4 linked regions of the Caenorhabditis elegans genome follow. The protein of the gene in region 4 interacts with the protein of the main gene of each other region in a pairwise test. Each region holds a gene or a part of one and is shown on either strand. Other genes may lie near its edges.

Region 1 (4,860 bases), on a different chromosome or scaffold from region 4:
TTAAAAATGGGCGGAGCCTAATAATGAGCATACTTTTCTAAAAGTTTCAATTCAATTAGCTCGAACAGAGCAAAATTGAAATTTTTACTATTGATTTTTGCAGAGTTTTTCCAAATTTTCCAAGCATTTCGCAATAAGCCAAGAAAGGGGCGTGGCCTTAATTCGAAAATAGGCGGAGCCAAATAATATTGATTTTTTCAAATTCTAAACAAAAAAAAATTGAAATAAAGTTAGTTCAAGCTTGTTCGAATGGAAAAATTCATAAAAAATTTCCCCATTTTGCAATAATTTCGCAATAAACCAAGAAAGGGGCGTGGCTTAGATTTGAAAATGGGCGGAGTCAACTAATATTGATTTTTTTTTTCAATTCTGAGCAAAATAAATTAAGACAAAGCTGCTTAGCTAAAAAATTTCACAAAAAAAATCATAACTTTTCTATTATTTCGCAATAAGGGGCGTGGTTTGGATTTGAAAGTAGGCGGAGCCTAGACTTGATATACTTTTTTACAAAAATATTTGCAAATGTTAGGCTGTACCCATTTATAGTGCAAAAAGTGGGCGTGACTTATAATCAATATTTCACAATAAGCCAAGAAAAGAGGTGTCGCCTAAATTTCCGGATTACCGGAACCTGGTCATGATTATACCTAAATTGAAGCGCTCAGCAAGCTCAACTCGAATTTCACACTTAAAAATCCAAAAAAATCGGGTCTCGCAGCGAATACTCACCGTAAGCGATAGAATTGAATCTGCACTAGACGGTAGAAAAAGCTCGATGGAGGAGAAAGTAGGGAAATGTCACCGGTGTATCGTCGTAGGGCTTCTTCCTGAAAATTTGAAGATTTTGGGGAAATTTGAATTTTTCATGAAAAAATCTCAAAAAAATCAAAAAATTTTTCGAAAATTCAATTTTATCCAAATTTTCGCCGAAAAAAAAATCGATTCCCAATCGATTTTTGGCGCTAAATCCGAATTTCCCATTTATTTTCACTTACCTCTTCACTTTGCGGCAGCATTCCAAACAAATTCTGCAAAGCATCTATTTCGGCGACCGGCTTGTTTTGGCTGACGTCATCGATGAGCTCATCGATATTTTTGAACTGTTTCAGCATGATTGCCACGTTTTGACTACGTTTTGCAGTTAATAATTCTACGTGGGCGTCTTTTCGTGTAGATTTCTGGAAATTTAAGGAATTTGAAATTTTCAGGAGGAAAAAAAAATGTTTTTTTGGGTTGAAAATTTTTTTCGAAATTTTTTTATAGTTTTTTCCCAAAGCTCTTCTGTAAAACTGTTTTGTTTAAAAATCTAAATTTAATTTTTCAAATGCTTCAAAATGACCCCCTACACGCCTACATTCCGTCAAATTTGAAGTTTTGGGTCTCGCCACGCGGGGTACTGTAGCACCGGTTTCAGCTGTGTCAGAACTCAAAATAGCCGGAATATAGGCATGATGGATGTTATATCAAAAAACTTAATAAGAAAGTTCCTAATTTGTGAATGAAATCTTGTTAAATAAAAAACTTCCAAAAAAAAAAACTTTTTTGGAAAATTTCAAAAATCGATTTTTTTTTCAAATAATTTTTTTCCAAAACTTTCATAAAACTGTTTTTGTCTAAAAATCTAAATTTAACAAAATTAACAAAATTCCTACCTTGACCACCTCGGCGGCTCCCGACACCGCCAAGCTCTCAATTCCAAAAAAATTGTCGAGTAGATCAAAATCGATATCCACATTGCTGGCTTTCGCCAGTTTACCCCAGACACTGTCGTCCTGAACCACACTCGCGTTGATTTTCGACCACTGAACCGTCCGTGTTTTCGTCTTTTTCTCTTTTTTCGGCAAAAACGAGGTGGGACACTCTTTGGGCCGAGGCGTGGGCGTTTTTAGGCTTTTTGAAGGTGTTTTCAGGCCCAAAATTGGCGGTGGCGGTGGAGCTTTTAGGGTTGGAGGAGGCGGTGGGGGAGGCGGTGGAGGCGCCTGTTGGAGTATTGAAATTAAAGGCGGGGGCGGGGGCGGAGGAGGGGGCGTGGCTTTGACTATATTGTCGTTGGGATCCTTTAGTTGTAGTTTTTGCAATTGTCGTTCTGCATCGGTCTGGAATTATTATTATTTTTTTTTTTTTTTTTAAGAAAAAACGTTGAAACAAATGGGCGGAGTTACAAATGGGCGGAGTTTAGTACAAAGTGGGCGGGGCCGAAATTAAGGTTTTTGTTGGCAAATAGTCAGTTTTTGGAAAAAAAAATTTTTTAGGCAAAATAGAGAAAACTTAAGGTTAAAATTATTCATCTCATTGTCAAAAAGTTAATAAAGGGGCGGAGCCTAAGCCAAAGTGGGCGTGGCCTAATTATACGTTTCTGAAAACCCATAATTAGCTGAGTACAAAAAAACATTCAAAATTTTTTTAAATCTTAATTTCAGAAAGTTACAGTAGGTTTTTCACTATTTCGCAATATTTTTAAATAGGGGCGGAGTCAAAAATCAATATATGGGCGTGGCCTAGTCATGATTATACGTTTCTGAAAGCTAAAAGCATGGTATATTCAGAAATGTTAAAAACATTTTTTGATTATTCATTTTGGTAAGGATTACTGTAGTTTTGCAAGTATTTCACAATAGGGGGCGGAGCCTAAACCAAAGTGGGCGGAGCTTAGTTATGATTATACTTTCTGAAAGCTCATAACTAGCCGAGTACAAAATAAATACTCAAACTTTTCTAAATCTTAATTTCAGAAAGTTACAGTAGATTTTTCACAATTTCGCAATATTTTCAAATAGGGGCGGAGTCAAAAATCAATATATGGGCGTGGCCTAGTCATGATTATACGTTTCTGAAAGCCCACAACGCGCCCAATTCAATAAAATATACCTGAGAACTAATCAATTTCAGCTGATCGATAATTTGTGATAAGAAGAAGGCGCGAGCCTCGTTGCTGCTGCCGCCATTCTTGTCAAGTAGCAGCTCGTCGAGAGTTTGTCGAATTGTGTCGCTCGTCATGGTTTTTGCATCTGCAAAGTGTAGAGTTTTTGATTAGAGTACATTTTTTGAGCGAAAATTGGGGATTTTTTTTAGAAAATTTAGGCAATGGAGGTATTTTTTGAAAATTTTTAAAAATAGGTCACACAACTCGGCCTGGAAAAATGTGGTCAAAAAAATTCCAACTAAGAAAATGTGTACACAATTTTAAGAGCTATAAGAGCTATAATTTATATACTACAAAAAAAAATTTATAACGCATAAAAACCCGCCGAGTTATGCGCCTTTAAACAATTAGTCCCCCTGGTAGAGCTCAGCTTTAAAGGCGCATAACTCCGCGGAGAAAGGAGGTATCAAAAATTTGTAAACGGTAAAAATGTGCAGAATGTCAAGAGCTGTAAGAAATAAATGTTTGAATTTTAAAATTCGCACTTTTCATACGAGTTATGTGCCTTTAAACACGAACGAGCACACTCGACCCTGTTGAGAAAAGGCAGTAGACCCAGCTTCAAAGGCGCATATCTCCACGGAGGAAGGAGGTATTCACAATTTGTTAACAGGGAAAACGTGCAGAATTTTAAGAACTATGAGATGTATTTATTAAGATTTTAAAAGATATTATTTTCAAAAGAGTTATGCGCCTTTAAATAAGATCGAGCACTCTCGACCATTTTGAGTAGGCTCGCCCAGCTTTAAAGGCGCATTACTTCGCGGAAAAAAATTTTGGCCAAAAGTTGCAAACTGAGAGACTGTGCAAAATTTCAAACACTATGACTTGTATCTATTTTTATTATTTTAATTTATTAAAAAACAAAATTTTCTAAGGAGTTATGCCTTTTTAAAGAAGCAAGCGCAATGTAGAGTAACTGGCACACCAATTTTTGAAAACGTAAAATGAGCAACTGCCAATCATCATTCCAATGCAATATTCGATGGCTTAACACCTCATTAAAACTCTAGTGTATGTGTCAATTAGAAACTAGTTAGGTGGTAAGCCGCGAAAAAGTTTAGAAAGATCAAATAAAAAGTTGCCCCATGACAAGATTTGTTTGAACAGAGGGGGTGTACTATCGATATAAAAGATATTATACAGTTGTTGTGGAAGACTCTCGAGTGGGGCTCATTAGCATATTCAATATTCACACACACAATAGAGATACACAAGAGGGGAGTGAGTACAAATAAAGATGATATAGCAGCCAGCGGGAGATCAAAAATGCGAAATCTGTGGTCGTTGCGCGATATCCCCCCCAGGTAAACAGACTGGAGGTACTTGGGTGAGGATGATGATATCCGGGATATTAACTGGATTGGTTGAGGGGGGGGGGGGGGGTAGGTTTTTGATAAGATGTGCTAAGGATGATAGAGGGTGTTAAACAAAAATCTGTCATGACGACACAGACAAATGTTGTTTTAAATTTTATAGATATTGGTACAAATCTCAGTATTTGACTCTAGCTTCTTGCCCAAGTTTGGCCCTAAAATTATTAACTTGGGCAAAAGTTGGAGATGTTGGGGGGCCCAACTCTTGCCAAACTTTGGCTTCAAACTGGGGTAGAATTTTGTTTGTTTGGCAAGTTTGGCAAGAGTTGGGCAAAACTTGAGTTAAACTTTGATTTTTCCCAAATCCAAGTTTTGCCAAAGTCTTGCCCAACTCTTCTGATCCAAGTTAATATTGTTTGGGCCAAACTTGAGCAAGAAGCTAGAGCCGAACTCGGTACAAAATGGTACAAAAAATGTATTTTAATACATTTTGCAACATTACTTGAATAACTTTACAAATCGACCAAAAGCATCAAAAATTTTTTGGATTTTTTTTTTTTGGTTTTTCGAAAATTTCAATTTTTTTTTAGTCCAAAATTTTTTTTGGTCCCAGCCCCGCCT
Region 2 (5,249 bases), on a different chromosome or scaffold from region 4:
CAACATTGCTTTAGATTTTCTCAATAGCTCCTATTTTTCAATATTTTGGCAATTTGCGAAAGCTTACGAAAAATATAAACATTTTTGGAGTGTTTTATTATGATTTTTCGTCGTTTTGGATCATTATAAGTGTCCTTTAAGTCGTTTCGAGACCGAGTACCGTATTCTCGCAAAAGATTCTAGTAATTTCCTTAATGGGCAGAACCTAAATTTTTTTTTTCAGAACTGGTGAGACGAAGCCAGTGGATCGTGTACACTTCTCCCTTCCAAACCACGGAGAGGATCGTCATTTCCCTGATGATTTCCACTACTCGTTCGAAGTTGACGGCAAGATTCATCACGCAGATGTTCATATCAAGGAAGCCGTCTCATTCAAAATGGGATTGGATCAAGCATGTCAGGTCACCGAAGGAATGAGCGAATTCGTTGTCGACGGAAAGCCGGGATGGGGATTCGCGGAAGTCGAGTATCGTATTCAGCCGTATTAAAAAATTATCAAATTCAGATTTTCTACCTTTTCCACTTACTTTATAAAACCGTTTCATATGCTACTAACAAATGTGGGGTCAACGTGCAGAACAGAGCAACAGTAAAATGTACAAAAAATAATAAAACACTGGGAGGGGATAACAAGTTCCGAAGAACTAAAAACATGAGACAACAAAACATTTAGAACGAGAAAACAAAAACAAAAGAACAGAGATTGTAGCAGCTACGTAGCAGAAGTTGAAGCCCTTTTGTCAACCTCATCCAGTAGATAGTTCACCGTTTCTTGGACACTTTTGTCAATTGGAGTCTGTAAAACCAAATATTTCAAGTTTTCAAATTGTTCAGTTCTCTTACCCGAACAATATACTTTGTGCACGATTTGAAGCGAAGATATAGTCCCTTGCGAGGAGACTGCACCTCCAGAGGCTTCTCCTTTCTCGGGCGGCCTCTTTTGCGAACAAGGCTTGCCGTCGTGTCCTTCTTCGGCTGAACTTGCTCTATTTCGGGCTGCTTCTTCTTCATCACCGGAATCACTGCAGTCCTGGGAAGCGAGTAGGGAGTTTTGAGAGTTGGTGGACGAAGAATCCTCGGAGTTGTGATATTTGACCAGCGGAGAACGGTATTCTTGGGTGGTGGTTGATCTTGCAGATTTTGGGAAGACGTGGATGCTGTTGTGAAGTTTGTGAGTGGATGATGTCTTTTCTCATCTTCATCATTCTTCTTTTTCTCCACTGCAGTTTCTACTGGTTGCGTAGTGGGTGGTCTTCCAACCGGTCTTGCTGCTGAGGAAGAAGGACCATCAGAACCTTCCCTATTACGAGCCATCGATGCCTGATTAACTGAGTAGAACTGAGTGAGTACATGTGGAGCTCGCATGGTCTGCCCACAAAACTTCTCGGATCCGAAAGAAGACTTCAGGGAGGTCAGTTCGTTTCTCTGAAAAAAGTTAGATTAAATCTTCTTTGTTCTTTGAAACTTACCGAAACACCAACACGATCAGCACACTTTGGAATGATAGACATATTGGCAATCTCAATACATCTACGAACCGTCGCACTGCAAAATCCGGTCATCTGAGCCGACACCTCGTCCGGTTTCTGCCAAACAGTTCCAGCAGCTCGATCGCCGAGTCGTTTCGCGTATTCTCGATTCCAAATTGCTGTTCTAGCTACCATGACGCGTGTCTGATCGCAAAGATGAGCACGGATGGCAATAACGGTAGAATCGTCGACGAATCGGAAGGAGCTCATATCCACAGGCTTTTGAATTTCGGCGCAACGATAACATCTTCCATTGACTCCTTTGACGAAGGCGGGGGCCTGAATTTTGAAAATTGTTCGTTGTAGGTCTCGCCACAAATAATTTGATTTTGTAAAGTACTAGCCAGTGGCAAAATTTTAGGAAGAACTACGGTCGCACCACGAACAATTATCTCCAATCATCCCGGCGCAAAAATGTAAGCGCCTTTTAGAACTACAGTAACCCTTCTCCTCTTCTTTTCAATGTCGCTGAACTTTCTTATTTTTCGCCAAGATTTTTTTAATTTATTGAGAGAAACTGGAGTTGGGTTACTGTAGTTCTTCAAAAAATTTACCATTTTGTGCAACCATTAGATGAAAATATTTTTTGCTTATGATGAAAACAGGGAATGAAATAATATAATTATTGGATGAAAAACACTAGTAATTGCTGAAAAGTTTTTTTGTTAATGATAATGCAGGAAAATTCGAAATATTGAAGTTCCACTTTAGGGTTTTCCAAAAATATATAATTTACCGCCATATTCGAGTAGAACGTCATAGGAGTTTTATGATTATATGCAGGAATTTGGACACTTTTTGGAGCCACGGTACTGTTTTTGGCTTTTGGACGGAAGTTATTCGCTTGTCTGATCACGGCGTTTTTCGTCATCTCCAGAGCTACTTTTTTACGTTCCATTATCGATTTGGAGAGTGGAAGGATTGGAATTGCGCTCGCCGAAATTTTGGTTCGTAGAAGCTGTGATGGATTGATTTCCTCCAATCTGGAAAATTTGCTTTTTAGCAGGACTTATTAAACAAATTGTCATTATTTTGGAAGTCAAGGTTTTCAAAAACCCGAAATTCAACTTACTCAATTCGTTTTCCGACTCTTTCCGTATGTTCACTTCCAAGCGTTGCGTCTTCCTCGAGAATTTTCCCTTCACTTGGTTCGCTTACAGACTCCCGAGTACTTCCACTTTGTCGCTCGAGAATTGGCGGCGGTGTGACAGCTCGCTGGTACCGAGATCGCAGAAATTCCTCCTCATCAGAATCATAACTGTTTCGGAAGATATCTGAAGAGAAAATGAGCTTTAAAAAATCAAATTTTCATGGAAAATACCTCTTTTGGTTCGATTCGACTCAAATCTGGATATCAGAGATCGCTGTGGTGGAAGATCTGGTGGGCGTGTAGGGTCGGCCATAATTTTAATTCTGAAGACGGGTGATTGTTTTGTTTAATAAAAAACTTTTTAAAAACTAACGCTTCCTCCTCTTCGTCGAATCCAACAACGTCCACATCCTCATCAGAGTCTGTAAGCACTATTGGCTTAGATACAACAGGATTCGGATTTTTTGGAGAATTTTGTGCCTTTTCGAGTGTTACTTGTTGGTTATTAACAACTAACGGGGACTTCGACTTGTCTGTATTCTGAGAACGAATGACGTAGACTTCTGAAAACAATATTTTTATTTAACAGAGGACCATTTGCAAACAAACTTCTTCGTGGCAAATTTGGATCCGTAGCTTTTTTAACTGGCTTTGGTGGAGGTGGGAGACAGGAATCTCCGAATGAAGCCCATCCAATATGAGCTTTAGGTTCATAATTACTAGAAGATGCCGGTGGTGAATCAGTTTCGTCGTCGTCGTCGACTATCAGAAGATCATCGACGCTCAACGTTTTCTGGGATGTGGAAGGTTCATCATCTTTAGCAGTTTGCGGTTTTGGATCAACTTTTGGAAACTTGACCGCTGCTCGTTCTTCTTCATTCATAAAAGCAAATGACATTGGGGATATTGGTGGAAAAGCTGCGGGTGCAGGCTCTGTCGTCATGGAATTGTCTAGATTGGCAACAATGGGTTCAGAAGACATCCTGGAAACAAAAAATATGGAGATAAAATTTTTAAATTTAAATTTAAACTGTTTTTATTTACCAGAAAACTAGAAAATCCCAATGAGAAAGAAGGGAAATTAATAGAAAAATAAAGTTTTAAAAATACCTAAATTTTCTACAGTACCCGAGGTCTCGCGAAGATTTTGGTCCGCAGTACGCAAACACTCTTATGCTTGTTTACCGTAACCACTGAAATATTTTTTCGTTGTTTTTCTTTATTTAAAAAAAGTTATCTATTTTTCGAAATTTATTGAAAATTTCACATTTCAAAACCGTCAATAATTCTTTTAAAATTCATTTTTCGCAATATGGATTTTCTTCAAATGTTAAACCAGAGTTTTCTTGTAATTCCTTGAACAAATCACATTTTTAAATCACATAACCATTTTCGTTTCTGGAAATCTTCACTTTGAAGTTGAATTCTTGTTAGATTATATTTGTTTAACTCTGAAAAATAGTTAAAATGTGTGTTTTTATATGTTTTGTTTCAGATTTCCCCTGCTTTGTTTTCCTTTCCTAGACTAAGTTTTTAAATTTCGATCAATCCTTTTTCTTCATTTTACCCTCTCAAAACCATTTATTTACTCACTTGAGAGACGCAGAGAAACCATCGATGGCCTAGATGTCTCGTCTCGCCTCCTTCTCGGCCACGCGCGCCTATCTATCGATGTTTTTCTGCCTGTTCGCTCCGTTTTCTTTTTCGAATCTTGACCGCTTCGCATGCCTGTTCCGTTGCGGTTTCTGAAGCGTTTCGGTTGCGTCGCGGTTCCCGGCTCCGCCCTACTACCCGTTCGAGTCTCCCACGGTCTGTAGCACGTCTATCACCTATGTGAATGAGTGTGTACGATCATCTTCTTGCCAATCGGGTTATTGGGTTCAATGGATCGTAGATTGATATGAAACTCGAATTCGGGAAGGAATCGCCACGCAACGCAGCTAGAAATGCTTGAGAAACTTGCGAGAATTTGAGAAGAAAATAAATTTCAGAATTATTATTAAAAATTTCCAATGAGCGACCGACGGCGGCACGGAACAGAGGATTATCAAATCGCCGGTCTCAAGCATTCAATGACAAGTAAATCGATATTCATAGATTCAGAATTTCCAATAATTTTTCCAGGTGTCGCCTCAAGCTCCCACGGTGGTGCTGGAGACCTCCAACAACAATTTTCCAGGGAAGATCCACCCGTAAAAACTACGCAATACACACTTGTAAGCTGGAAAACGTTTAAAATTCAAAATTTTCAAATTTTCAGCTTCAACTAATCAATATGGTTCGAGAAAATCCGATTCTCTACGATGAGGAGATGCAAGCCGCCACGCCGGATGCTCAGTTGAAGGTTCAGAAACGAGAAGCATGGGATCGGATACGTGCTGATATAGTTTGGCAGGACATCACTCTTGTTCAGGAAGTCTGGTCGGATCTTCTCGATCAATATGCTAGAAAATCGATTGATATGTCCGATGGACTAATTGAGGCAATGCGATGGACAGATTCATTGATTTTTAAGAAGAAATGTAAGAGTTTCTTGCAAAGAAATACACCAAAATCATTTATATTTTCAGCAGACTCTCGACCTCCTTCACAGCTCACCGCAATGTCCTCCGGACTGGATAAGGATTTCT
Region 3 (7,235 bases), on a different chromosome or scaffold from region 4:
TTGAACAAATGTTTGTCGTTTCGAGACCGGACGCCTTAGTTTGGTGTAAAAATCGTAAGGTTTTGCGTCTCGGTAATATATTTCAGGTAATTTTCCCCTCTAAAGTTATTGATATTATAAAAATTTTCAGCATCTGATACATCAATGGATTGTCACATGGAATCTATCGGAAGTCGTCGCCGTGACAGTTTAATCGAACAATTCCGCGATTTTTTGAACCGATCAATGGATTTTAGTGTCAAGATTGATGATCCATTTGAAAAAGAAATGTATTAAAATTATATCGTTTTCTTGTTGATTTTTGTAATTTTATATGTTGAAATTGTAATTTTTTGTTTCTGTAAATAAATGTACTTATATTGATTCGAAAATTTTAGATTTAACAGTTTTAGTTTCACTTCCGTATTTAGAAACATGGATTTTTGAATCGAGACTTTGGAGAACGATAGAAGCAATAAAATATTATAAAACACAACACACATGGAATATTCGTTTAAACAGAACGAGAGATTCAACAATTAAAGTCAAACAACAATGGCATTATTTTATTGCTAACTAAAAAGAGATAATTGAGAATTGTTATCTTAGATATGAAACGCTAGGATATACTAACACACAGAAACTAAATTTGATGTTTGAAAGCGAAGGAGATTTAGATTTTTCGAGAAATTTTCTTAAAATTTCGCACAAGCTGATTTGGAATACTGGAAGGTTAAGGGAAATATTTGAAGATTGAACGGTTTTAGAAGGAAAATGCATATATAATATTGATGGCGGCTTTACCATCGAGAGCCTCGATCATCTCGATTGCCACGATATGACGAACGGGAATGATGATTGGAAGACGAAGAATTATATTCGGAACGACGAGAAGATCCTTCAGTTGTTTCAGAATTGTTGTTGTAGTTATTTCGACTAACAAATGGAGAATTGAAACGATTCGATGATGAATGTCCCCGTTGGTTTCGTTGATGGAATGAACGATTGCTGTAGTTACGAGGGTTACTGTAGTCATTTCGAGACCATCTTTCATCGTAGTTTCTGTTGGAAGAACGTTCACGTGATGTCGATCTTCTTGAGCTACTGAAATTAGAAATTATATATTGTAATGATGGTTAAAACTGATCTGATTTTGAATTTAACTGCTTAAAAATTAAAACGTTTATAATTTTTTAATGATTTTTTTTCCATATCTTACTATCGTAATAAATATAAATGAAAATTAAATTAAATTAAAGATGGGCTAATTATTTTTAAATTCCCTGGCTGAACAAATGTTTTTCAGTATAAAAAATATTTAATATGAAGATGAGTTTTTCAATTTTTAGGCCAAAATAAATTCACTAAAACTTCAAAACTGACTTAAAAACAGTTTCACCGTTATAAATAATTTTTTCGCGGAAAACGAGCTGAAAACGTTAAACTAGGCAATTCATTAACGCGAGAATTTGAAAATAATTAGCCCATCTTTTTTTAATTTTGCAAAATTGATAGGAAACATCAAAAGTTGTTTTTTTTTAATTTTCAGATATTTCGTAAAAACTCACACATTTTCATTATATTTATTCTCCAAAACGTTTGTCGCACTGAGAATTCGAGTTGGAAGCAGTGATGCAATTGGCGGATTCATTGGATCTGGAGATGTAGCTGGTGGTGGAACAATTGGCTCATATGGTGAGAAGATTGATGGAATTGGAATTGATGGTAGAGTACTGAAAATAATAAAATAATATGGAGTACTGAATCTTTCCAAAAACGGGCAATTTTCAAAAAATTTCAAAAAACTTTCAAAAGGAATTAATATGTAACCTTACGGGAGAAAAATATTAATCTAAACTATTTACGTAAGAAAAAAACATCAAAACGAAATATTCAAAAAGGTTCAATTTCATCAGTTCTTATTTTTAATCATTTCACTCATCTGTTCGATTATCATTTTTCAATAAATCGAACTGTAATAGTGAGTTTATTTTTTTCGTCTATCGTTTCCGTTGAAGAACAATTTCCGCACACTTCCAGGCACGTGTGTAGTAGTTCAAAAATGTGTGTCACAAAGTGTAAGCAGAAGAAGAAAATGAAATCGGCGAAGAAGAATCTATCGACTCCTGGTACTGGTGGAAGTGTTAATCCCGAAATGAAGTCAATTTCACATTCGACAACAGCTCAATCGGGAGAGAAGGGAGCAAGCAAAATGGCAAAAGTTCCGTCCAAGGAGGTAAGAGAGGGATGGAAATATTATTAGAAGGGCGCAGATAAAAGTGGTGTTTGGCGGCGAAACCGTAAATTTAAAAAAAAATTCAGTTAGTTTCGCCAATTCTCAAGAGTTTTCAGGCATTTATTATTGGAAAATGACTTTTTTCAGAAGAGCAAGGGACCAAGGCAAAGTGATCGTGATGCAAAGGATGAACACAACGAGGCGGTGTCTCAACTCAAGAAGATTGCCGAAAAAGCTTCAGAAATGTCACATGGACCATCTGTAGCTCCACCAAGAAAACTGTAAGCACAATAATAACTAATTTCCCAATCATTCTCATTACAGTGACGCGAAACGCACTGTGACCGGAATGAAGGAAAGCAAAGATCCCGAGTATGTGACGCTGGATGACGATTTTCCGAAATTCGAGAAAGCAATACTGAAGGGCAACTCTAAAGAGGTGAGGAGTATTTATTTTTAGACTAATCTAAATATTTTCTTATTTTCCCAGGCTACGGAAACTCGAAAACTTGAGATAACGCAACAATTGTCTGTTGATGAAAAGAAGATTGCAGGAAGCAGCGAGAAAACTACTTAAAAACGAATAAAGCTTAATCTATGCAATTTTTACCTGTTATTTTCCTCTTTCGGTTGCTCTTCCTCTGTTTCTTCTTTAACTGGAATCTCATTTATTTCCATTGTAACATCATTCATAAGCACGTCTTCCACATCAATGATCTCTGGCTTTATTCTGACGATCTGCGACAGTTTTTGAGCAACTTCCGTATTGAATTGATGACATATGTATATGACGTCTTGCGGGAAATCATCGGTTCCACCAGTTTCGGAAACTTCTCCCGTAGCCACCGACGCTGCTTCTTCATGTTCTGAATCAGAATCGGACGACGAAGATCGGTTCGCATTGTATTGAGGAGCACGGCGAGTTTTCTGAAAATGTGTTTTGTAAGAATTGAAAAATTAAATTTCAATTAAAAAAAAATTTGGATGTCACTCTTGGTCGTGATGACTCCCGTAGATAATTTTTCTAAAAACTTACGTTAACGTCTCTCACTCGAACATCTGTGTCAAACGAGCGATCGACAGGAGCGCGGTTAACAGAATCCGACTTCTCCTGAATCTCATAATTACCCAGAAAACTTTAATAATTCAACAAACCCCAACTACAGTCTTATTCTCAATTGCTTCTAATCGAGACCACGGAAAGCATTTATTGATCATCTCGTTTATCATAGCATTTCGACGGCGACGAACTTGTTGAAATGTTGCATTTTTGTACACTGCCATGCTCGCTTTGTGTGTCTGGAATTCTTTGATTTTTTTTGTCAATTTCCTAGCTTTATTATAAATTAAATAAATAAAACTATACATCTTTCATATGAGAACTCAAATCACACTGTCTTCTGAATCCTTTTTCACATTCTCCAACTGGACATGTTAGCGGTGGAAGACTCGTCGTGTGCAGCTTCTCGATATGCTCTCGGCGCATATTTTTTCGAACTTCAGCACCAGTCATGCAAAGTTGACAAGCAAGATCCGAATTTGGGAGATCTGGATACGATCGATCCATCTGAAACTCATTTTTTCTTAATTTAAAAACTGCAACCTAGTTAGGATAAATGTAGATACAGGGTCAAAACTTATAATTTCAGTATGATAATCAATTAATTCAAATTAAAAATTAATATAACAGTGTGGGGGAAATGTTCATTCGATCTGAATATGATATTTATTTTTGAGAAAAAAACTCGAAAATTATCTCAAAAAGTGCAGGAAAGTCACCGTCAGGGCTGTAGATTTTTCGTTTTTTGTTTCGAAAAAAATAAGAATAATTCTTTTTTTTTCCTTCTCGAATTCAGATTTGCCTCAAAATGAAATATCATATTCCTTTTTTAAATTTGTTTTTGTAGATTTGCTGCACAGCCTTGTTCTCAATTTAATTTGTTTTCCTGTACATACCGCAGTTTTCAGCAAATCATCATAATCTTCTGGTGCTACATCAGCTGCCATGTGGGAACGAGTCACGTGTCCTTTTCGGAGAACTGTAAGATAAAAACTAAATTCGAATTTAGAGATTTCAAAAACTCACTAAAATCATAAACTATTTCTTCATTACAAACCGCACATTTCACTTTTGCAGCATCTCGTCTCTCTGGAACATTTGGATCAAACCATCCAATTAGTTTATCAATCGCTGACATTTCATCGTAATTTGCATTTTTTCCAGCTTTCTCTTGATTTTGAGCTGCTGTCATTGACTCGTTTCTTTTCTTCCTCGGTTTCTTTGTTTTATCAATAGATATATTATGTTCACTGGTTGTTGAATCAACTATAGCTTGAGCTGAACTTGATGAAGCTGGCTGAGCTGATGTTGAGGAGGCGTTGGGGCAGAGTGAGCTGAATATATCATTTTTAAAACGAGGGCTTTGTCGGAATCTAGGCATTGTTAAAATTGTATTTAGTGAATAAATACCTCTCAGAATTATTTGTTCTTCTATTTAAAAATGCAAATGGTGAAGTCGTAGAAGTTCCCGATTTTGCCTTTTTTGGCACTGGAGGAGATGTTGGAGTTACGACGGAACTTCTTTTATTCTTTGCACTATCAGTAGGAGTCTTTTTAACAGGTGAAGTCGGTGACACTGATCTCGGATCTCTTCCCCATCGCTTCTCAAGCACAGTTTCCATATCGTCAGTCGCTAGGGCGTATGCGTCTTCCACAACAACCGATATCATTTTGTCAATGTATGGGTTTACTGTCTTCTGAAGAAAAAAAACAATATTTTTAATTGTAGAAAATCGTCTCAAAACCTGAAAAGAGCGCTTGTGTCCGTGTTTCGAGCAATGAGCATTGAGCTCCTGTTGTGTGTAGAATCCCATATCACATGTGCTCTCTCCGCATGCATATCTCCTAAAATTATATATGAATTTAATAATAGAAATAACATTTAAAATCCTCACTTGTACTTAAAATGTTTGTAGAAGTGTGCGCCTTCCTCTTTCAGCGTTTCGCAGCACAATGGACACACTAATTGGTTCATATCTTAAAAATACGATTTCATAATTTAATCTCTGGCTGTGATTCAGATGATTGATCGGAAAAAGCGTATTAACTTGAATGATATGATTTGAATGATATTATCCAGCTTGAATGAGTAAAATTTATGTCTTCAGGAGTTTTTTCTCCATGTGGATCCACAAAGAAGACAAAATTAAATACCTTGTATGCTCACATTTTAAAAAAAGTAACAACTTTAGAAAAGTATTACCAGAGCCTTACCAATTGTGTTCTTGCCCATGGAAACTGATTAGAAAAACGAATGCGGGATAAAAATTAAGCCGTCAGAATTCACAAGTTCACTGCAAGAAGATGGGTGTGATATCACTTTACTCAATAAATATTTAAAGTGGAAACAATAAATGAAACTCTGTGACTGAGATACGTGAAGCGTTCACAAACTGGAAGAGGAATAATCGGGATAGAGAAAAATGAATAAAGAATTAAATTAGAGAAATTCAAATTGTATTTTTAATGAAACAATTGGGACTTGAGGAGTTGCTTAAGCTCTCGTTCCGTTCTTTCCTTCCTCCTCTTCGTTGTCTTCGAGATCTGGCATATCTGAAAATTTTTTATAATAAATAACATTTTAATACTACATTGGTTTTCTATCATTAACGAATTACTAATAGTAAGCAAAAAGGATATTATTGCACTTAATACTTACCGTCATCTTCCTCATCATCCTCAAGACCTCCGAAGTCTGCTCCGCCAGCTCCTCCCATCTGGGACATGTACTGGTTCAAATCGAATCCGTTCGCCATTCCACCGCCAATTCCGGCTCCGGCATCCTCAGCCTCATCATCCTCGTCTTCATCCTTCCATTTTCCAAAGTCAACCTTCAACCAATGGACCTTTCCCTTGTTTTGAAGAAGTCTTGGCCACCAGGCTGGGGTCTTCTTCTGAACTGTGATCTCAACGACGCGGGTTGAAGATCCAGTGTGCTTTACGGATGCAGGATCGATTTCGTCGAAGAATTCGAGAGTTGCTTCGTACTTGTCAGTTTTGCTGCTTCCTCTGAAAATTTACGAATTACGACTCATTCTATGTACCATCATGAACATTCTGTGAATATTTAGGAAGCAAGAAATATGCTTCATATCGTATTTAAACATTTAAAATAGAAATCGAAATATTAATCCGAAACGTACTGGAAGTGAAGCTTGTTTCCCTCTCCTTTCAGTTCCTCGATTTTCGCCTCATCAACCTCGATGGTCAGATAGACAAGTGATTCACGCTGGGCCCAGAGAACTGTTGGTTGCTTAGCCATGGTTTTTGCCTGTAATTCGAAAAGAGAACTAGACGGATACGAACAATAATCAATAAAATTCAAGGAAGGTGCACGACATATAAATAAGCGCACAGTTGAAATTAGCATGATTATGCAAATTGACGAAAATAAAGCCATCAGATGAAAATGTTTTCATATCACGGCAATAACAAGCAAGAATTGTCCACTTAATTTCTTTTTTCGATTGATTTTTCTCTTACAACCTTTTTCTCCTAAATACAAGGACTATTGGCCAAAATCGATATATTTTAAGTGCGAATGGCATTGAATATAAACGTAAATGGATTAGAAATATAAAGTCGCGAATGTTCTTCAGGAAAATTGCCATGGAAACGCATAATGAAGATGATAAAACGGCAGAAATTCAAATAATTCGAGAGAGTTCCCAAATCGCGGCGAGACCCAGTGGTGAAAGTGCGCGCGCCTTTGAACGAACACGTCTCCATTTACGAGGTTTTGGCTCATTTCAGCTTAATTTTAAATCGTTCAATGAACATTTTTTGATGGAAATATGGAAGCAATGGATTTTCTGAAGAAAAATTTGAATCGTGTTGACTTCCACAGCGTATAGTTGTTAATTTATTGTTTTATGCGTCTAAAATTGTTCAGAAACAAAAATGCAGTGTTCTATTTTCAGATGGTCAGCTTCTCATGGGTATCAAGGTCGTTACACCATC
Region 4 (4,464 bases):
ACGGTAGCTGGATCCGCTTTCGGAAGACCAACATAGACGGATGAGCTGGGTGCATTCTTTTCGGTGGATTCCGGTGCAAGGTTTCCGACAATCTCCTTTGGTTGTTGCTCAGTTGGCTGTTCATGCTTCTCATCTGACGCTGGAACCTTTACAGACTCGGGAGCAATGTCAGCAGACTTTTGAGCATCCCATGATTCAGGAGCAGTCTTGGATGGATCGATTTTCTCGCGTTCCGAAGTTGGAGCCGAGTTTGTGGGACGCGAAAAAGCCAAATAATTCCAAAAATCAGACTGAAACAAAACGGAAATTCGATGTTAAATCCTCCTAGTATTCTTACAATTTTATCTCTGAAATTCCAAACAACAATCGCAATTCCAACAGCAGCAACTGTCACAATCGCTTCTTTTCGAAAACTTCTCCTCGGAACTGCTGGTGTGATTGCTCGCGACATTTCGATTTGATTAAATTGTGAAATAATTGAAATATTTGGTTTTTCCTGACTTATTATTGTTGGATGTACGTGAAAAACTGAATTTAATTTATTTTTATTCGAAAAAAAAATTATTTATATTTAAGACTAATCAAAAAGTGGTTGCCCGTTGATTTCAATCACCCCTTCATCGCCTTCGACATTTTCGATTATTTGATGATCCACATCTTCGACATGTTCTTCTTCTAGAGTATCATCTTCGTTCACTAAGATCATTTGCTGAAATTTACGAATTTTATAAAAAACAATTTTCAAAATTCCACTCACCACATTACCCATATTATCCCAGTCATTTCCTAGATCCATTTGAAACTGATCATATTCATTTTCAGCAACTTCTCCTTCAATTTCAGCATTTTCCAATGCCATCATCTCATCGCCCTCTTCAATTATCTGCTCCTCGCCTTCATGATTTATTTCAAATTGAGGAACGAGGTGATGATGATCGATAGTTCCATCTGGTTGTTGTAATGGGACCAATTGAATTTTCGTTCCATTCTCATCGTAAATATAATAAGTTTCTCTGAGATCATATCCTTCTGGTAAGAGAACTTGAATATTTCCATGCTCATCATGAATCATTTGTGGGAAGTTGTGTTGTTCTGCTGCTTCATTTGCATCCTCATCTGGAATCATTGCTTGGGATGTAGATGGAATATCATTCGGATCTTCGGAGCTTTCAACAACGACTTCTTCATGTTGAGTTGGAATATGAAGACGTCGATGTTCGATGAACTCCGGACGATTGTCGAATTTAGAATCACAGCACGTCCAAAAGATCTCACCATTTGATACTTCTAATCTGCAAAAATATTTTTTCTAGATATTTTTCTTGTTTAAAACAAATAATTACTCAAAGGTAGGGAGACCTCCTGTCTCAACCATACAAGAAAACGAAGATTTCATATGAACTCGTTCCATGTGCTTGAACAAAAGACGAGGTCGATTCAACTTTAGTCCGCATTCTGGACATGTAACTCGTCCGGCAGTGTCTCCATCAGAAATCTCTCCAAGAATTGGCAGTCGAATTGACATTTCATCAGCCATTTCAAAATTTGTTCGTCGCCGCAATCGTTTTTGTTCTTCATCATATTGGTAAAATGTTCGACGTGATTTCAGGTATTCTGGTACATTTGCCCATGCTGTCTGAAAATGAAAAAATTAATCGAAAATGTTGAATTTAAATCTAACTTACATAATTATGAACATCGTTTTTATGGAGATTCAACTCTGACATACTGTGAGAGATATGACCGCAGAACTTGCAAATATATTTTTTTCGTCGGGTGTGATGCGATGTAACGTGGGCTCTTAGCTTCCCATCATCAGGAAATACTAATGAGCATAATTCACACGTCAGATTCTGAACCTCGTGAGCTCCTAATCGATCAATAAGCTGTAATCGAAGCTCGTCATTCTTTTTGTGTGCTCTTTGATGAGATTCCATGGCTGTTGGATGTGCTATGTTGACGAGCATATTACAGATTGTACAAGCTTCATATTGTTCTCCTCCTACAGTCGGCTGATCTTAAAATGTACATTTTATTATATATTTATTTATTTTTTTCTAATTTTACTTACTTCCAGCAAGAACAGCTTTTACAAGTTGATGTGCTCTTGCTTCGTGTCTCATTTTATCCATTGTTAGTCGATCGCGAGATCGGAGCCGTTCGAACTGAAATCTTTATTTTGTTTTAAAAAAAGTTACAATTTTCTAAATTTAAAATACCTCTCTTTTCTTCCATTCTCCACAAATTGTATTAATATCTAGCATGATATCGTCTAAATTCTGCAGGTGACACTCTCTTCCATGCTTTTCAAGTCCTGATGCAGTCAAAAAAATTTTCTCCTCACAAAATCGGCATGGATAAGATTCGACATCGTTAGCGATTCCTGGCAATTTCTTCGGTTTGAAGTTGGATGGGTGATTCTGAATATTAATAATTTTTCCTACAATAATTTAATACTTAAATTAAATAACAAATCTACCTCATTTACAGTCAATACTCCTGATTGTACTTCATATCCTTCTCGTTTAACTTTTTCACCTTCGTCGTCTCGAACATCTATAATGATTTGAATTATGACTTCTGCGACTAAAAACAATATTTTTATACCTTTCCGCGTATGTTTAAGCGCTACATTTTTTCGTATGATTCTTGGCGGTTTTCGTGGTCCTCCACCTATAATTGCAGCCATCTAAAAACAAAAAAGTTTACTAAATTGTAGAAAGTTAGAGGAATTAAAACTAAAAAATACATGGCAAAACCGATAAAAATTCAATAAATAAAATTTAATGTAAGTGCGCTCCATTGGATGCAAGCGAGAGAACGGAGACGCAGCGTTGGAGTCGACTTTGTGGGAAGGGCCACTAGACGAGTAAATTGGACCAAAAAGTATTAAAAATAATCGTATATTTTTTGTTCGGTAAGCAAAACTGTACGTACTCTTCATGTCTTCAGCTCTGAATTCCAATTTTGATGTAAATTATGAAAATAACAACAAATCCAAGACAATTGCGAGATCTACAGTACTCCTTTAAATCTAGTTGGTCGTTTCGAGACCGGGTACCGTATTTTTTCGTAAATTGCCAGGTAATTAGTGAAGAACGGAAATTTAAATTAATTTTTTTTATTAATTAAAGTTTACATTGTAATAGTCATTTTGTTAGATATGAACTGTTCTCAATTCTTCATTATTACACTAGTGTCTCAAATATGCTGACTATAAAAAAGAGCATTCTCAAATCACGTAAGACCAACAGAATCACACCTTAATATTAGCAAGGATGATAAATGTGGCAAGACGCGTCTCTAGTTTCCTCGATTTTCTCCCAATTCCAAGCAATTGTCATCATTTTGGCAACCTTTCTCGTACATTTTTAATGCCGCCTTACTTCGAAAAAAAAACACGATGAGAATGACAAACAAATTGAATGAAGGAGACAGTATAAAAGAGAATGTTTGAATTGGTCTTTCATCATTCGACTCCAAACACACTATGGTCCACTATAAACTTTCATATTTTCCAATTCGATTTGCTGGAGAAATTCCACGACAGATTCTGGCATATGCCGGGCAAAAGTTTGAGGATCACCGGATTCCACAGGCTGATTGGCCAGCTCTCAAGTCGAGTGAGTTTTTGAAACTTTTTTTTTCAAAATACTATTTATTCGTGATTAAAATGTTGTGCCGCTCTAACCGCTGTGGGCGTGGCGAGATCCACTTGATAAAATCTTGATTAGACCTGACACCAATATTCTGGGTCTTATTATAAATCATTGATTTTTGTTCACAAAAACTGACCTGAAAGCAATCTCAGAACTACCTTTTTTGGTTCAAAGTTCCCGTATAAATCTAACTTTTTTGTAGGGACCTATTTAGAAGGTGCTCTTTGAAATGAAATATGTATAGTTCCAAAATCGAGATATATGTTAAAGTATCTTCCATGTAATAGAATAACAAATACGATCACTTTTAATTGCGAGGCTGGCGGGATATTTGTGTACAGGTTTTTCTAATTTAATTTTTTTATGTCTAAAAATGTTGTATTGAATTTTCTATATTTCCAGCTATGCCGTTCGGAACTCTTCCTGTCCTTTATCAGGATGGGAAACCACTTGGACAATCCCATGCAATTTCTCGTTTTCTTGCTCGCCAATTTGGAATAAATGGAAGATGTCCATGGGAAGAAGCTCAAGTGAATGCAATTGCAGATCAATTCAAAGATTATCTCAATGACATCCGATCTTATAATCTCGTGAAAATGGGATTTGCACAAGGAGATGCCGATGCTCTTTACAAGGACACATTCCTTCCAAATTTCAAGAAAAACTACCAATTCTTCACCAATTTCCTTAAAGCCAGTGGATCTGGATTCTTGATCGGTGACTCTGTCACCTGGGTTGATCTGTTGATTGCTCAACATACATCAGATCTTCTCAGTGACAGTGGATCTGTGTTTGCTGCCAGTCA

The links.
Region 1: the proteins of ZK546.5 (region 4) and exc-6 interact in a two-hybrid assay, tested with the Caenorhabditis elegans proteins (one large-scale study listed by BioGRID).
Region 2: the proteins of ZK546.5 (region 4) and xnd-1 interact in a two-hybrid assay, tested with the Caenorhabditis elegans proteins (one large-scale study listed by BioGRID).
Region 3: the proteins of ZK546.5 (region 4) and ztf-8 interact in a two-hybrid assay, tested with the Caenorhabditis elegans proteins (one large-scale study listed by BioGRID).

The regions. Positions count from the first base shown.
Region 1 is NC_003281.10:1,101,361-1,106,220, reverse strand, and holds the start of exc-6 (Excretory canal abnormal protein 6), read right to left. Parts: upstream 3,014-4,860; 5' UTR 2,998-3,013; coding exon 2,869-2,997; intron 2,097-2,868; coding exon 1,653-2,096; intron 1,179-1,652; coding exon 996-1,178; intron 828-995; coding exon 730-827; intron 1-729. UniProt on the Caenorhabditis elegans protein: Constitutively active protein required for microtubule and F-actin growth, structural maintenance and organization during excretory cell tubulogenesis.
Region 2 is NC_003281.10:5,602,813-5,608,061, reverse strand, and holds xnd-1 (X chromosome NonDisjunction factor), read right to left. Parts: upstream 3,603-5,249; 5' UTR 3,602-3,602; coding exon 3,229-3,601; intron 3,183-3,228; coding exon 2,993-3,182; intron 2,943-2,992; coding exon 2,851-2,942; intron 2,804-2,850; coding exon 2,602-2,803; intron 2,513-2,601; coding exon 2,266-2,512; intron 1,809-2,265; coding exon 1,470-1,808; intron 1,426-1,469; coding exon 844-1,425; intron 797-843; coding exon 713-796; 3' UTR 506-712; downstream 1-505. Other genes in the region: C05D2.8 (DUF7064 domain-containing protein), read left to right, coding at 224-488; madf-11 (MADF domain-containing protein), read left to right, coding at 4,632-4,698, 4,744-4,835, 4,880-5,141, 5,190-5,249.
Region 3 is NC_003281.10:5,268,220-5,275,454, forward strand, and holds ztf-8 (C2H2-type domain-containing protein), read right to left. Parts: upstream 5,253-7,235; 5' UTR 5,251-5,252; coding exon 5,171-5,250; intron 5,121-5,170; coding exon 5,021-5,120; intron 4,973-5,020; coding exon 4,686-4,972; intron 4,610-4,685; coding exon 4,302-4,609; intron 4,255-4,301; coding exon 4,172-4,254; intron 3,783-4,171; coding exon 3,582-3,782; intron 3,515-3,581; coding exon 3,371-3,514; intron 3,327-3,370; coding exon 3,252-3,326; intron 3,143-3,251; coding exon 2,826-3,142; intron 2,817-2,825; exon of another isoform or gene 2,793-2,816; coding exon of another isoform or gene 2,706-2,792; intron 2,655-2,705; coding exon of another isoform or gene 2,540-2,654; intron 2,497-2,539; coding exon of another isoform or gene 2,363-2,496; intron 2,216-2,362; coding exon of another isoform or gene 2,042-2,215; exon of another isoform or gene 2,020-2,041; intron 1,961-2,019; exon of another isoform or gene 1,907-1,960; intron 1,713-1,906; coding exon 1,548-1,712; intron 1,084-1,547; coding exon 780-1,083; 3' UTR 536-779; downstream 1-535. Other genes in the region: ZC395.5 (Ovule protein), read left to right, coding at 131-276; ZC395.4 (uncharacterized protein), read left to right, coding at 2,042-2,215, 2,363-2,496, 2,540-2,654, 2,706-2,792; Co-chaperone protein daf-41, read right to left, coding at 5,770-5,828, 5,935-6,284, 6,419-6,537; toc-1 (similar to Transporter Of divalent Cations), read left to right, coding at 7,070-7,123, 7,196-7,235.
Region 4 is NC_003280.10:4,934,043-4,938,506, reverse strand, and holds ZK546.5 (C2H2-type domain-containing protein), read right to left. Parts: upstream 2,690-4,464; coding exon 2,608-2,689; intron 2,557-2,607; coding exon 2,480-2,556; intron 2,421-2,479; coding exon 2,220-2,420; intron 2,166-2,219; coding exon 2,072-2,165; intron 2,018-2,071; coding exon 1,686-2,017; intron 1,637-1,685; coding exon 1,344-1,636; intron 1,293-1,343; coding exon 758-1,292; intron 710-757; coding exon 578-709; 3' UTR 533-577; downstream 1-532. Other genes in the region: ZK546.4 (Energy transducer TonB), read right to left, coding at 1-290, 338-451; gst-30 (glutathione transferase), read left to right, coding at 3,491-3,623, 4,062-4,464.